Drosophila melanogaster: one gene and its partners. The protein of the gene in region 2 purifies or fractionates together with the protein of the main gene of each other region. This does not show direct contact. Each region holds a gene or a part of one and is shown on either strand. Other genes may lie near its edges.

What was found.
Region 1: the proteins of CG3164 (region 2) and Scamp purify together in Drosophila melanogaster (affinity purification with mass spectrometry, with the first as the bait; one large-scale study listed by BioGRID). This does not show direct contact.
Region 3: the proteins of CG3164 (region 2) and CG10916 purify together in Drosophila melanogaster (affinity purification with mass spectrometry, with the first as the bait; one large-scale study listed by BioGRID). This does not show direct contact.

What each region holds. Positions count from the first base shown.
Region 1 is NC_004354.4:15,445,582-15,452,296, forward strand, and holds Scamp (scamp), read right to left. Parts: upstream 4,303-6,715; 5' UTR 4,187-4,302; coding exon 4,124-4,186; intron 3,928-4,123; coding exon 3,700-3,927; coding exon of another isoform or gene 3,652-3,699; exon of another isoform or gene 3,278-3,651; intron 3,000-3,277; coding exon 2,798-2,999; intron 2,444-2,797; coding exon 2,314-2,443; intron 2,250-2,313; coding exon 1,841-2,249; 3' UTR 598-1,840; downstream 1-597. Other genes in the region: Ahcy (adenosylhomocysteinase), read left to right, coding at 4,810-4,834, 5,086-5,276, 5,814-6,715.
Region 2 is NT_033779.5:127,692-133,087, reverse strand, and holds the start of CG3164 (uncharacterized protein), read left to right. Parts: upstream 1-2,296; 5' UTR 2,297-2,536; coding exon 2,537-2,580; intron 2,581-3,842; exon of another isoform or gene 3,843-4,104; coding exon of another isoform or gene 4,105-4,145; coding exon 4,146-4,288; intron 4,289-5,396. Other genes in the region: Gs1 (glutamine synthetase 1), read right to left, coding at 1-605.
Region 3 is NT_033778.4:18,171,468-18,176,322, reverse strand, and holds CG10916 (uncharacterized protein), read right to left. Parts: upstream 2,655-4,855; 5' UTR 2,514-2,654; coding exon 1,722-2,513; 3' UTR 598-1,721; downstream 1-597. Other genes in the region: CG5726 (uncharacterized protein), read left to right, coding at 1-243.

The DNA.
Region 1 (6,715 bases), on a different chromosome or scaffold from region 2:
TGGCCTTACAAGATGTGGGCGTGTATGTGGGCATCGCTCTAATGCGACGTGGGTGCAGTAACTATGCATTTCCAGGAACATTCACTTTCGACCATGTTCAATCGTCTTAATTACCGACTGGCTTACGTAAACTTTTCTTCTTGCTAATTGATTTTCCATCGAATGAGTTCTCGAAATCAAAGGTCTTCGTGCACTTTTAAATGACATTGTACATTTCCTCTTAATTAAGAGTCGATTATGGCGGTAATCCGAACTATTTGCCAGTCATTTTGTGGGGTTTTCAATTTTATTGGAATTTATTTATACAAAACAAACTCAAGATTAAAATCTATAAGCAAACTGACTAATATAAACACAAGCATTGATGGCAGTTCTATCTATTATATAAATTGTGTAAATACCTCCATGCAGATAACCAGCAGTAATAAACCAAGAATTTAAGCCTGATTATTGCGTTTCAAGGCTGGGATTTGCAGATAAATAATATGAATATCTCAAAAGTCTTTATACCCCTTTAATTACGCACCAAATTATGCATTTGAATTCTCTAGAAATGAGTACCAAACAACCCATAAATTCAAAATCAATGCTTATTGTACATCTATAAGTATTTTATATTTATTTTGGAATTTATCATAAATTTTGCTTGAATTTTAAATACACATCCATAGATCGTCATTAGCTATTCTCAATTCAGTTTTAAATAGGTCGTAACATAATAAGTTTGACTTGCAAGCAAAACAGAAACGAACAAAATGTATCTAAAAAATGTGAATACTTAAGTGAATCAATATATTTTATATGCTGTCTTCATGTACATAGATAATAGATAATATATAACAATTACGATTACAAAAAAACACGACATTTTATGTGAGTGCAGGACAGTGACGGCGGAAAAAGGGGGTCGGGACATGGAACAGGGGGGAGGGAGGAGAGGGGGACAGTGGAGCAGTGGGCGTAGGAGCACAGCTTGGATGAAAAATGAATTTCGCTTTCTTGTTGTCTCTCTGGTCGAGGCGACGAGAGATAAAGTTCTATAATGTAAGCGTTAAATATATTATTTATATTATGTTTGTTATATATATAAGATCGTATATATGTGAGTGTGTGTGTGTGTGTGTGTTGCGTGTGCGAGGGAGTGGGGTTATTCCTATATCGTTTTAATGACTTAAAGAACTAGAAAACATCATCATCAGCAGCAGCAGCAGCAGCATCATCGTCATCAGTGTCATCCCTTTCGCCTGATTAATCTGGGTTAGTATCAGAATCGAATTATTCCACAGGACAGAGACAGACACACAATAATTTAGTCTAGATACTTGTATTTGGAGGCATATATCGTGCGATTAAGATGTCCTGTCTACTTGATCCGCTGCAGCTGCGTGTCGAAGGCATCGTGGGCCGCTTTAGTTTTCCTTTTGTTTTTTTGTTTTCTCCTTTTTGTTTGGTTTTTTTTTCACTTTCAGTTTAGTTCCAAGTTCGGTTTTGTTCCGTTTATAAATATTGTTTATGCATTGTGTGTTGTTTCTGTGTTATCATTACAGTAATTATTTGTAATAAAGACGACGGCATTCTAGGAATTGTTTATGCACAAAAGCAAATAGTTATTAGTTCCATGCTCCAATGCTAGCTTTAGTTTCATGTTTTTCTTTACTTTCATTTCGTGTTAAGCTATTTCAATGTTTATTAAGTGTTCTTTCTCCATCTCCCTCTCTCTGGCGCGGCTATCATCATCTTTTTCTGTCCCAGTTAAGCAGGATGAGTGCTGCTTGAGTTCGTGGTTGATTGATTGATTCTCCTTTTGATTTGATTAGATCCCCGGAAAGCAGAGTGTCACTTAGTACCTGCTGTTGTTAAACTGCGAATTGATGGCCGTATTAACGGCCGAGGAGGCTGCTTCCTGGACGTGCTGGTTGCGCAGAAACTCGGTGGTGAACTCCGCCTGGGCCTTGGCCATACTGGCCCCTGTGCTGCGGTAGATCGAGTGAATCTTTGTGATCATCAGCACATTGGCCACGGCCACCGCTGTGAAACAGAATGCCACGTTCAACAGCAGAATGCCGACGATAATACCCGACGCTTGCCCATCGAACTGCCCGATGGCCGTAATAAAGCCACAGTAGCCCATCTTGTTGAAGCCCACCGCCTGCACAATCGAGTACAGCGTTTGAAAGAAGTAGATGAAGAAGAAGACCATGAAGTTGAAGCTCGAATCGTTGCGGAATGCCTTGTACGCCGGTCGGAACCTGAAAATTAATCACACATCATCACATTATTCATGTTTTAAGAATCTTCCAGGTATAAACTCACCAGCAGACATAGGAGGCGGGCGAGAAGAGCATCGTGTAGAAGATGGCCAGGAAGAAGGTCTCGAATTCGCCAGCGTGGAACAGCAAAATTAGACCGCCTATCACGTTGGCCAACAACGTCATGGTGTAAACTGTCGGAGAAAGTATTCAAAATAGACACATACAATCAGCATAATGCTATAATCTGTAGGGGAAAGCATTATTATATACTATATACTATGCATGCAGTAAATAATGCTAGAAATGCATTTAAAAACTATCTTAATACTGATAACATGTAAATCAAACAAATTTCATGCTCCCCTCTTTGCAAGCATATTCTGCACAAAGGCACGCACACATCCAAGACCATTAGCCATTCAGCTATATCTGATTAATAATGGCATCGGCCTGTAGACGACACGCGATGACTAATTCCACAACCTATGGCACCGCTTATCAGCGAAAACATGTAGAAAACACAGCCATAAAGAACCAATACTCACAAATCCAAATGTAATACAATCGCTTGACCAGTTTCTGGAACTCGGGCGGTATCTCCACCTCGAAGTCCTGGTAGAAGCACGGCTTTACACAAAAGTTATCCGGCAGCGGTGGCCAGTTGTTCAGCTGCGGCACATTGCCCTGTAGCTGCTGCTCGCGGCGGTCCAGTTCGGCGGCCTTGCGGTCCAACTCCTCCTGCCGGCGCTGGATACAATGAAAATCATATGATTATCGACTGTTTTATATATACATTTTGTATGACTTAATAAATTGGCCGTATATGGTAAATACTTTAAATCTTATTCATTTACATATTTGGGAAAACAAAGGCGAAATTCAATGATAGGAATTCACATCCAAATCTTGAGTTTGTTAAACTTCTATCTTAACCTCAGGCATTTGGCCTATCTATAGGAAATATTCTGTACAAGAATAAAGTGCAAACTTAAGCCTCCAAATCATATGTATTTAGATCTACTAACTAGTATTTCTTGAATTATTGTGTAGGGCCGAAGAAGCCAAGTAAATCAAGAGAAACCGCAGTTTGCACAGTGAAGACTCGGCGCGGCAGCCGCTTCTAGTCTCAACCAGATAAATGCTCCAAAGCGGATATATCGTTGGCAGATCGAGATAAGCCCGCTTATCTTTCTGACTCTTGATGGAGAGTAAAATGTGATATGCCTGCCCTAATCCCGGCACTCTAGCAAAGTGATTACTGTACAGACTTTTAGGGCAAACTTTTAGTGTAACTGTGTGGTGTGGTCCATTTCGATTGTTTCCGAGTATTTGGATGTACATATGCGGTTTTTGGAGTATTGCGGATGTGGCCATGCCGGCACAGCACACCGCAGAGTGCTCACTGTTGTGTGGGCGGTAACGCGAGACGACCGGCCAAGTGGGTTACCTGCAGCTCCTCCGAGGTGATCTGTATGCTGGTGCTAGGCGCCGAGGCGCCCAGGGAACTGGTCTGCGGGGGCGGAATGTTCTGCGATAGCGGCTGGACCACCGCCGCCGTGTTCGTTGAGTTGATCTGCAGCTGCGGCTTGGCCTGCTCCTCGAATGGATTGTAATCCTCAAGAGAGACAAGGGCGGCGCCGCTCTGGAGTCGTCGTGCCTGCTGGATGGCGGGGTCCTGCGGGGGAAAACCGGGAAATCCCAATCAGAAACCAATTCATTCAACATATGTGACGAATGCACCCAACACACACACACACTACACTCACAGGCACGCACACCAACACCCCACCTTTGCGTACGTGTGCGTGTGTGTGCGATGGGTTTTTTCTTCGGCTTCCGCGCTCTCTCTCCTAGCTCTTCTATCGCCTCACCGCAAACGGATTGTCCAGATTGGGCTCCCCGAAGGGATTCTCGTCGAGACCGGAGCCGGACATGGGAATTCTACTTTGGATACGGCTGTTCAATGACCAGAAAAACGCACTGACTCGCACTTTGCTTTTCGCTGTGTATATTTTCCCTAAGACTCTGCTCAGTTATCGATGTCGGTTTTAGTGATGGTTCAGCATCGATAAGCTTTCGTTGGGAATCAAAGTGTAGGCCTCAAATATCGAAAGAATTACTTTAAAGAATTAATGTTATTTGAATTACATATTAAATTCATTTTGGCAGAAAAACTTATTATTTAACACATTTAACATTAATCTAGAATTCTGAAAAATGTGAATAACTGGTATACAATGGTCTGATTTTTTAGGACCTATTAATACATTTTATTAAAATGATAGCAAAAAGAAAAGATTCTATATACAATTGGATGTAAACCAGCAGTTATCATATGAATTTTAAATTTAAATGGCAACAATCGTGCCAATCGGAACTGCTCCAGCTGAACCAGCTGCGTGGAACCAGTTCCCATCCCTGGGGCCGCCATTCCGCAATTGGAATTCTAGTGTCTTGGGTTGCGATTCGATTCATTTACCGCTGCCCGCGTCTCCAATTCGGTTGTGTGCGATTCTGTCTGCTCCGCATCCAAGTCAAACATCCAATCCTTGCAAGAATGTCGAAGCCCAGCTACAAAGTCGGTGAGTTGCGTTATAAATAAACCCAAACGGATGGCAAACTCTCGAATCGAATCTCCGGCCGGCAACAGGCGACATGTGCGGGTGAATTGCATCTATTCATGAGCACATGTTTCTGAGGTTAAAAGAGAGACAAAACAGAGGAGAGCACGTTGTTGCTGGGGCAAAAAACGTAGAAATTCAGACCGTATGGTGTATAAATCAACAGTGCCTGCTTATCTGACCCTATCTCCCTTTTATATCCCACTCGACAGCCGATATCAGTCTGGCGGAATGGGGACGCAAGGCGATCATTATTGCGGAGAACGAGATGCCCGGTCTGATGGCCTGCAGGAAGAAGTACGGCCCATCTAAGCCCCTCAAGGGCGCCCGCATCACCGGCTGCCTGCACATGACCGTCCAGACCGCCGTGCTCATCGAGACCCTCGTCGAACTGGGCGCTCAGGTGGGTTCAGTGCCTCTTTGGCGCTCTAAATGATTTTATGCATCGTACCACCATTCGAATTGTATGCCCAACTGTAGGTCTGAACAGTCGGGATAATACACAAAGATAGCATCATTTCAATACTAAAAACCATTTCAAAAACCATAAAACCGACCAAAATTCCGTAAGGAAATTGTAAATTAGGTAGAAAGATAGGTATCTCCAAGCATTGTCCAAGGGCTGGTCCCTTATCACCTTTGGTTTACGCACCAATTTGAATAACAAAACTTTCGTTTAACAGCAGGGGGGCAAGTTCAAGGCGCCCAAGATAAGACCTCCAGATTGTTATTTCCTCTGACGCAGCACCATCTGCTTCAATCCTCGCACATGGCAACTATTTTCTGCCAAATGCTGATGTCCTGAAATACATAGATTTCCTGATATAGATCAATCCTATATGCAATGCAAATCAGTTTGCAAATATCTATATAATTTAGGTTCCTTCCCATCCACATCTCAACTTCAACGCATGAACTACATTTTCATTCTTTTATCCAGGTCCAATGGTCCAGCTGCAACATCTTCAGCACCCAGGATAATGCTGCCGCGGCCATCGCTGCCACCGGCGTGCCCGTGTACGCCTGGAAGGGTGAGACCGATGAGGAGTACATGTGGTGCATCGAGCAGACCTTGGTCTTCCCCGACGGCCAGCCCCTGAACATGATCCTGGACGATGGCGGCGATCTGACCAACCTGGTGCACGAAAAGTTCCCCCAGTATCTGAAAAACATCAAGGGCCTCAGCGAGGAGACGACCACCGGTGTCCACAACCTGTACAAGATGTTCAAGGAGGGTCGTCTTGGCGTACCGGCCATCAATGTCAACGATTCGGTGACCAAGAGCAAGTTTGACAATCTGTATGGCTGCCGCGAGTCGCTGATCGATGGCATCAAGCGGGCCACGGACGTCATGATCGCTGGAAAGGTCTGCTGCGTGGCCGGATACGGTGATGTGGGCAAGGGCTGTGCCCAGGCACTGAAAGGATTCGGTGGTCGGGTGATCGTCACCGAGGTCGATCCCATCAACGCCCTGCAGGCGGCGATGGAGGGCTATGAGGTTACCACCATGGAGGAGGCCAGCAAGGAGGCTTCCATCTTTGTGACCACCACCGGCTGCCGGGACATCATCACCAGCGTGCACTTGCAACAAATGCCCGACGATGCCATCGTGTGCAACATCGGCCACTTCGACATCGAGATCGACGTGGACTGGCTAAACGCCAATGCCAAAGAAAAGGTGAACGTGAAGCCCCAAGTAGATCGGTACACAATGCAGAGTGGCAAGCACATCATCCTGCTGGCCGAGGGTCGTCTGGTGAACCTGGGCTGTGCCCACGGCCATCCCAGCTTCGTGATGTCCAACTCCTTCACCAACCAGGTGCTCGCCCAGATCGAGCTGTG
Region 2 (5,396 bases):
ACGCCGCAGTAGTAAGGACCTTGTGGGGCTGGGAAACCGTTCTCCGGCCAGCCGAAGGGACGTCCGTCCACGTCTAATAAAGTGTATTCTTGCTCAATGCCGAACCAGGGCTCCTGATCGCTAATTAGGTCAATGGCTGCCTGGAACGCGGCACGCTTGTTGGACGCCGTCGGCTTGCCGTCGGCGCTGTAGGTGTCGCACAGGACAATTACGTCGTTCTTTCCCGGCTTAAAGGGATCGCGATATATGGCGCGTGGCTTGAGCGTGGTGTCCGAGTTCTCGCCATGGGCCTGGTAGGTGGAACTGCCGTCGTACTGCCAATCCGGCAAGTCCTCCACGGAGCTGGGTACTTTGTCCAAAACGCGATCCTTGAGGCGAATGTTCTCGCCGGTACCGTCGATCCATAAGTAAGTAGCCTGCACTCGATTGGCCGGCGTTTCCAGGTTGCGGTACCTCTGCAGAATGCTCTTGTCTAGAGCCGTGTTGGGGGAGTTGGCCAAGAACTGGGAGCGGGTGGTATTGCCAGTACGCAGCAGACGCAGCTGCTGTGTTGCGGGAGCCACCAGCTCCTTCTTCAGGAAGAGTCCTGCCACGCGTAGTGCCATCTTGGTTCTTGGATTGGAGTCGGCGAGAAGGACAAAAGGACACGGTTAGTTATGTATTGCTGGCGAATGTGAGGACGTGCGCAGGAAGGGCAAGGGCTGGTGGCATGCTGGCTCACTCTGCTTTTCTCATGAATTTTTATGTAATTATTTTCCTTGCACTTGATTTTCCGAGGTAGTTAAAAAAGGGGTACTTTTCCAGTGAAGACGCAGTCTTCCGCACAACTTACCGTGCTCTGCTCGTTTTTCCACTTTACAGTTATATGATTGGTTAAACAGTCGCTGGTTGGACAGGTCTTTTGGTAATTTTGGATTGCGGTACTTTCGGTTTTCGTTTCTGTTTCTGTCAGGGGCTGCGGAGCGACTGTTGGGGACACCCGACCAATTCGATGTTTGGAAGTCTTGTGAGCACAGTTAGCGCGACAGCATTCACTTTTTTCGTTGTTTCGTCGCGCGCCTCGGGTTTTTCTTTATCTCGTTTGCGACGCCGACGCACAGACAAAGGCCTCCCAGAGAGCATTCAAAACTGGCGGTATATGAGCACCCGCTCCGCAGCCACTAGCCAGAGAGACCTGCAATGCGACCCATAATGTTTATGTTTCGAGGCTAGTCGGGTAGCCAAAAGCCCCGTTACTGAGCACACGCTATAAGCTCATTTATGCATTTCGAGCACTTGTAGCTTGCATTAGCGCCAAATGAAAAACAAAAGTTTTTAGTAATTCTCATCGTAGAACACCTGCACCATTTATGTGCATGGCCCACTTTAGAACCCACAAATTAAGTTCTACATTTTTGATAAATTCATTTCAGAAACTATGATAGGTTACGCAGTATGCAGATGCATTTCAGCAGTACTACTTATTACAACACTCTCTCATTTCTCGTAATCTCTTCGTAAAAACCTCCACCATTTTGCTCTTTGGCTGATTGTTTTGAATACACGCCTGGTACAAAGTTCACTATATACAATTAAATATAGCGAATGCAAGGAGCACCGTATCAGCTGTGTCTATTCGTGTTTGGCATTTGATAAACTCTGTGGTGGACCGCATTAATAGAGCCTTAAATGAAGCAATAATGATTTGTTTATAATATGTAAATTCGGTACTAAATGTTCCTATTCCTGGCTTGGGTCTCGCATACGACGTTCTGAATATTAAAAATATATCTAACTAAAACTATAACTAAAATAGCAGTATAAGTACACAGTGTAGCCAACTTTTAGGCTGAGTATGTAAAACGTTGAAATTTAAATGCTATGTAAATTCTGATCTAAATATCCTGTGTGGAGGATATTCAATATTTATTTGTTACAGATTATACTTAGTCCTAGGCCGTCGTTCATCAAGCCACGCATATTGGCCCACTCCCTCCTACATAATGGCATGTTGTCGCACAAAAGCCGAGACCACAGATATGTCTTCCAATTATTTGTTGGTTGCCTCGTAACTTAGAGGAAAGTACTGAAGAACGGATGAGTATATTTCAGATAGGATTAATGTTAAAATAAAGCTAAAACTCTGTTTCTGGCGGGAAAGCAAGCTTTTTTGGACGGCTCATATTGGGAGAGCTTCAGGTGGGCATAACAAAGAAAACAAGGAAAACAGAGGAAACTTTTATGTGCCAATGTGTGAGTGCCACTTTTCACCATAGACCCGAGTAATTCCCATATAGCCGTCTACGCTTTTCCAGTTACGTGGCATCGTTTCCACTAGTTGGCCGGCTTCAGTTTTCGCAAGAAACTACGAAAGTTTCCCTCCAGCAGAGTGTACATATTTTTACACCCGATGTGCAACAACCAAATACAAAATCGCTAATTCTTATATTCGGTTTGGGTTTCGACTGCCTATTCGTTATTGCCTGCGACTTAGCTTTCGCGAAGGCAACTTGTTGCTTCAAAGCGATGGTTTCAGTAGCTGTTGAGTTACGGCACCATGAACCAGTATAGTTGGAAGCAGTTTTTGGAAAATAATAATCTGTAAGTAGCCGAATCAGGCGGGTCTCAAGCAAAATGCATCACATTTAGTTGGCACATCTAATATACCACACCCCCCGTTTATAAAACGAAATCAACAAGTGTAGAACAACCGGTTTGCAATTCCTGCCAATTGTTGACATCTCCGTGACTTGATTAGCCACAAGCTTTAAAAAATTTCCAAGCCAATAGTCATCGGGAAATTGCCAGTGGAAATACATTATTCTTTCATATCTTAAGGCGACTGCATAACTTTAGTGCTGTATGCTGATTTGAACCCAGAAACCGAACTAGGAATAATATCTCAAATTGCGGTTTGTACTGGGAAAATACCTTTTGTTGGTCAATTCATTACGTTTTTACTTGCCCCAATATATACAATAACCGGTTTAACTAAACGTTATTAGCACTCCCAGTGCAATCCGTAAATCCCAATTAGATTGGGCAAAATATAGACCGGAGCATCGTAAAAGCATGCCAACAAGGAGCCTTACAGCAATGTCTACATCTAACTGTTGCGTTCAGATATACCACAAAACTGTTTCTGGGGCAAAGTTGTAAGGTCGTCCCACGCCATAGCCACAAATGACCTCATGCCACATTAAATGTAGGGAAAAGCAAAATGTAGGTAAAATGTCGCGTAAGCAAACCATTAAAAAGCGTACTAGAGCTCCTTTAAACGAATTACGGCACCGATTAACTTATTTTTACGTAAAACACGAAATGACAAAGTACAACCCCTTATCGGCTCATTGAAAACTCCTATCAGCTGTAGATTGACACCCATAGATAAGCCCCTCCAATAACTCATGAGTCATGAGCGAGGCCGTGAACTTTTAACTTAGATTGAATAAACCAATGGCCAGAACCTTAGCTTCCAGGACTAACTACTATAAAAGGCTGATAAACCAATCAAAGTACAAGACTGGGAATCAAAGACCTTCCTCAAGGTAAAGACTTTCCTCGAAATTAGTTAGTGGTATTTTATTTCGAGATACATGGGTCCGCCGATCGAGGAATATTCACAGATTATAGGCTTTTCCCAAATTCATTCAAGACTTAGTAGAAGAATGCGCTGGCTTTTGAGAGAGAGCCAACCCGCAGTGCCTCTCAATCGCACTAGAATCCCCACCAGAAGTAGTGCTTCTATTGTCGTCCCACTCTAACCACAGACGTAAAGCATTGGGGCTGTGAGAGTATGCGATGGCACTCTCTGTCAGCGGTTGCCTAAATTTCTGCCTTTGTTCCACTGCCGCAATTGCTTATTTCAGTTGCGATCGCGGCGCGAGCGAGTGAAGTCCTAATATTTGAGAAGCGGCAGTACCGTTTCGAGCAGACGGGTGGAAAATTTCTCTCACCGGACCAGACGGTGGTGGAATCGAATCGAGAACGCGAACGAAAAACCAAACGGGAACGAAGGGCAGCAGGGGCTGCAGTATTGCTGTCAGTGCTAAAGTTTACAAAGAATACACACACAACACAGTGGTTGCATTTTGCTTTTTAACCCCTGGTTGATTGATTGACAAGATGACTAAGAACGATAATGCAAATCTGTTGAACGACAACAGACTGGGCACAGCCGGAGCGGGTCAGTTGAAAGCTCAAATAGTACCCGCCCAGCCAAAGACGCTCCAGCACCTCCCCAAGCGACCAGCGGTGGACCTGGCCTTTCACAACCTGACGTACCGCGTCAAGGAGGGGAACCGGAGCAGTAAGTACTTCCACTGTCTAGTACCTCTCTCTATATCAAGCTGCACTCCTCGGCAGCACGAGAGCGGGATCTTGAACCTCCCGCGCCTGCTCTCACCTCACCCTAGAGCTTTTGTTTCCGGTCCTGGCTAGTAGTACTCCGCACATGTGTTATTGAGCTAGTTCTCCGGAGTACTCTGTCGCTATTACGCACTTCCCTGGCTTTAGCGGGTTTTACTTGTTTGCTTTAGCTGCGCTTCGCATTGTGTTGGTTTCTGGTTTCTTTGTTCTTTTAGCAGCTGTAACGCAGTATCAACACTCAGACTGTGAGCAACGGAGAACTTCGGGTTGTGGCTGAGTAGATATGTAACCCGTCGTCTCTTCGTCAAATTCATTTCCCAGTTTCACAAGGGCGGCTCTGGCCAAAGTTCACTAGGTTTCACCGCGATAAGCACTGCTAAATACATCAAAATCATCAGCCAGTAGCCGCGGAGTAACTGCCCACACAAGCTATTTCGCTATTGGGACAGTCAACAACTTGGTTCGATGCCATAGCATCTAAAAGGCGAGGAGCCATGTACTCGCACTTTTCTCACGTAGCAGTGTATCTACTTTAAAGCATGGGTGGAGCACAATGGGGTTTTTTTTTGGATCTACTGCTTTTATGGAAAACAATTTGTGATGACGTGCCAGAGGGAGAGGTATTGTTTTTATACCCTTTCCTCGTAGACTGCCCCTGATCCGCCAAAAAAAAAAGGATTATGAAATTGAGTAGCGGGTATGTTATAGTTGAGGAAGTCAAGACTGATGGCGGCGGTATGTGCTTTCTGTGTTAGCAGAGCGATTAGGATTTAGTCACTGCCAATAGCTAGCTTTAGTCGGGTGTGGTGGTGAAAACACATTTGTGGTAATATGCAGTGCCCCGGTGGGGCCGTTCAGAATAAGTAATGATGGCCGAGCGATAATATTCCATTAGTTTGGTATGCGAACGTGCACAACTGCTTTATTCTTATATTTATAAAAGCTCATTCATGAAACCCACTCCCCTCGTTGTCGCATTGGATGGCTGGCCTCACGGCGGACATAGTCCGTGAATCCCGTCTAAGATTGAGGGACTGTCAAAGCCTGTT
Region 3 (4,855 bases), on a different chromosome or scaffold from region 2:
GCGTCCAGCTCGTTTGATCGTCGCCAACAGACATCGCCACAAAATCCACATCAGCATCAGCACCAGCGGCACCGCCATTTCACACGCCGCTCCCAGCCAGACATCCATCAGCCGCAGAACGAGGAGAACTGGCAGGGGCAGGCGGATAAGGGCCAACCACCATCCGGAAAGGAGGAAAGCGAGCTGGTGCGGAATGCCCAGCAGACCACTCAGTACATGAACTATTTGTCGGCCCAGAAATGAGTTTATACACTTTACGAAGTCATCCACATGTACGAAAATTGTTTTTGAAGTCCGTTTAGAAGTTATTTGTTTCGCCTTCGTATATGTTTCCTAATGGATGTGTATATCCACGTAGACTGTTTTCACATTATTTTGTCTTCAACTGAGCTCAAATGTTAAACCAATACAAAACAATTTAGACCAATCACAAAACAAATCCATCTCAAATCCAGGCTTAAAGAATATTAAGCATGCATGCATTACACATTGGAGCCACTAAATTTGTAAATACCAATTATATATATATGAATGTCTTGTGTAGTCCCACACAACCACGCCACATAAACACTCCCACACAAAATACAGTCACACACACTCATTTTTATATTTATATATACAAATTGCTTAGAAACTAAGTACAAAGTCAATGAAAAAACAAAAATAATCCTATTTCTATTGAAAAGTAAAACGCCTGTTGGTGAAATGTTAAAAGCATGTTGAACATATAAAAATTTGTATTTTTAGCTAAATATATACTTATATATTAAATGTCATGTTATAGTGCAGGTTCAGCCGATTTATTAAACGAATTATACAAGCTTACGTATTTTTAAAGCAAATTTTGTGAGGCCCTCTGTTGGAACAACAAAGCCAAGCCGGAGTGCAGAGAAAAACATGAATTGTAGAGTTATACGAGTAGTCTTATATAGATACTTAAACCTCTTTGTTTAGGTATAATCAATATGTTCGCAACATGCGTAGGTTCAAAACACTAATCAGCATATAAATAGCGTCTAACACATTTTTAATAAAACAAAAAAATTGCATTATCATTAATCAAACATTAAAACAAATTCTTTTGAAAACTTTTGAAATCACCAGCAGAATGTCATAGTCTTACCTCCGTATTTACATCACCTGATTGGATGAATGTATTTTCCGAATCCTTGTGGGTGACTCCCCTCGTCTTCTGCGTTTCCACTTTCCAGAACTTCTGTGGGCAACTCTCGGTTGTGCATACTTTACAAAAGCGATAGTAAGAAAGCTTTAAGACCGCAGTTTTTATTAATCTTGCCATTTTGAAGACAGTTGGTCCGTTTTAGATACAATATACAAAAAACCAAGATTTCCGTTTATCGTAGGCATTGATCAAGTCAAGGTCAAAATATTTTTAAACCCGTGTCTAGTCACAAACATCTTCACTTTCCAAACTATTATAAAGAATTGCATACTTGAGGGCAGCAAATAGCAGACTAACTTATACATATGTATATGGGGACTTTTATTTGTACATAATTTGCTGGCAGTCAAAACAAAGTTATCAATTTTTCGCTTGATTAAAGAAATTGGGGACAAATCTTGGCTTACTGATAAGCGAATTTAAAACAAGTACAGAAATAATAGATCCGATTTTTTTCAAAAATAGAATAAGACGTACATATGTATTTATAACACAGATTCATACAATAAGGCATAAGAGATTTAAGATATCAGCAGCATCATCGATCTGCCTGGTCACGTGGGGTGACCACCAGGACTTCGTAGGTGTTTACGCTCACCTCTTGACCATGATGCGGGATGTACATGACCTTGTGGGAAGGATGCACCTTGCCCAGACGCAGGATACCCTGGTAAAGACCACGACCCGTGTAGGTGACCTCACCCAGCTCGGAGTAGCCCGTGTTCAGAGCATCCCGCGGATATGTTCCATGCTGTCCGGGCACCCACTTGTAGTCACAGTCGTTGAGCACCAGGATCTCGACATCATCGGTCAGAGTTCGGGCGCTACAGCTGTGCGAACCGAAGGCAGCCTTCTTTTCCGGTACATAAGGAGCAGGCAGGAGATCGTCGTGGTAATATCCTCTGGCCACATACGTGGGCAGTCCGTCTTCGTTGGTGCCACACTGCACAGCTCCCTCGGGCGGCAGGTGGGCATCCGGTAAGCTGTCTCTGTCCAGATCAATGGGCACCCAATCCATGGCCACCTTGGGCAATTCGGTGTCATCGAACTCCGGGGCCTCGGCGAAGTTTAGGTACAATCGGTGCACGCGTCGTCGGTCGCATGGGTCTCTGCATTGGGGGCAGGTCCTGGACCTATTCAGCCATCGGGTGAGGCAGTCCTTGTGGAATACATGACCGCACCGTGAAGTTGAGAAAATTATGTCGTTGGCCCGGAAAAACTCGTTGCAAATTGCACATAAAATGTTCAGTGAAGGTGATGAGTCATTTGTGGGTGCAGTTTCTGCGATTTTTCCGCCGTTACCTTCCATTTCACTACTATTACTCTCCATAACTACGTCCCTATGGATACTGAGCTTTGAATATGTGTGGCTCTATTCTTCTGTTCCAAATTTATTTCACAACAATGAGCGGAAAACGAAACGATTCGTATCAACTTTCCTGCTTTATTAGAGATGACCTCTGGAGAATACCAAATATACTAGAAATACTGTTATTTTAATAAGTTTGAATCTTGATTGAAAATAATCCTTTAAATATCTTATAGCATTAAGTAAGTAACATTTATATTAAGTAACATTTATATTAGCGTCTTAATCATAACTCTATTTTGGCTAAGATAATGTACTGTGCTATCATTTTGTGGTTATCTACTGGATCTTTACTTTGTATTAAAGTAGCGTTTCAAACCTGCACCAGTACTTCGTTGGTGCCAACGTTAACCTCTTGACCGTGCTGCGGGATGTACATGACCTTATGGGAAGAATGTACCTTGCCCAGACGCATGATGTCCGTCCTCGTTAGTGCCGCACTGCACTGCTTCCTCGGGCGGCAGGTGGGCATCCGATAAGCTGTCTCTGTCCAGATTCATGAGCAGAGGGTGCTCGGGAAAATCCCTGTTATTCTTGTGAGTCAGAGGACAGGCTTTTAACCGGGTACTTCTGCGAACAAGTTCGTCGTGAATGCACCTGTGGCCCATTGTCTGTTCGGGAATTAGTTTCCGAATCCGGTATGGCGATGGGTCATTTGTGGGTGCTTCTCAATTTTCCATTTCTTTGCTGTTACCATCCATATCTGAATCCCTTTACACACTGAGCTTTAAATACGTATGGCGCACTTGTTTTATTTTAAAATTAACGGATACGAGCTTTATAGAGATGGACTTTAAGTAGTGCCAGAAATACTGTTATTTTTATATTTCGTAAGTTTACATGGATCTCAAACGCTTATAACATTTAATTTCAAACTTTTTGCTAATATTTAGGTCTCAAGGTTTCAGAACAATTTTGTTTTATTTTGTTATAGATTTTTACTAAATAGACTAATTAAAGTGTATGCCAGTTGTTAAACAAATGTATTTCATAATCAGGAAGTCAAATATGTAATGTATATATATAATAAATTTGGATTTTATAGCTAAAAACTAATAAAAGGTTCACCTGTGCTCAATAATAGTTTCAAATACTGTTCAGGTCATTTTTAACACAAGAATTTATAAATATTTAAAATTAGCTATCGATAAGTGGCACCAGGTACTTACGATACTCAACCGATCTGGCAACGACGCGCGGTACGTGGCTTCGGGACACGGAAAACAATTTTACGGGAAAAGCTAAACAAATTATGTACAATTCGCAATAAATCCGAAAAGATATAGGGACAAACACCAGACGGAGAAGAGGAGCACAAAAGGCTGCATGAACTGTAAGTGCCAAGGACCAGATACCCGTTTCTTTTTCTGCGTTCACCCGTATCCTTTCACTTTTAATTGCTAAGTTCAACATACAACTACAAATGGATATTCAGCTGATTTACAGCTAGTGCGGTTTCTCAATGGCTCAAATTATGTTTCCCAAACTTGCCGCCACTCCAATGGAAACAAGTTAATGTGCGCATAATATGCAAATTTTCTGTTTGTTTTGGTTTGCCAAAATACAAACAATACATACATATGTACGCAAGTACATAGTACATATCTATGTTTGGCACACACACTGACGCATTAACTGCGCTCTTTGTTTGCCGCCTATAAATAAACGCCAAAAAATGCGTACGAGATTATGCCATTTGTTGCTTTTCAGCTGTGCTTTGCGTACGTCAACAAAGCTTTATTATATAAACAAATACAAAACGGCAATCAGCTGTTTCTAACAAAAAATAAACGGTTGAATAGCCTTGTCATTATCATTGTTTATTGTGCTTTGCCATAGATATATGTATGTATGTACAATGGCCATTTCACTATTAAACGAAATTATTAGAACGGCTAATTAAACTCTCTATCTTTGGCTCTCTTGTGTCTTCTTCCAAGCCCCTCTTTTGAGATATGCACATAATTGACGCAAATATTGCATCATGCGTTTCGAGGATTCCCCTCATTTATTTCACTATATGTATTCATTTGCAGTATTGCTTAAATATGTTTTGAATAATTAAGTTACGAACGTTTAAACAAATAAAATCATTATATATGTATGTATATTCGTGCATATTCTAAAGAAAAAGAATTAGGGAATTCTTGCGATTTCCTGGAACTCTCTTCCTGCGCTCTCTTCGTTCACTCTCTCTCTTCGGAGAACGGAGCTAGAACGACTATAGCACCATGCGAAGCTTCCGATTTCATCATCCTTATGAGCGGCTATAAAAGCAAAGACTCTGACTTCTTCAATTTCAT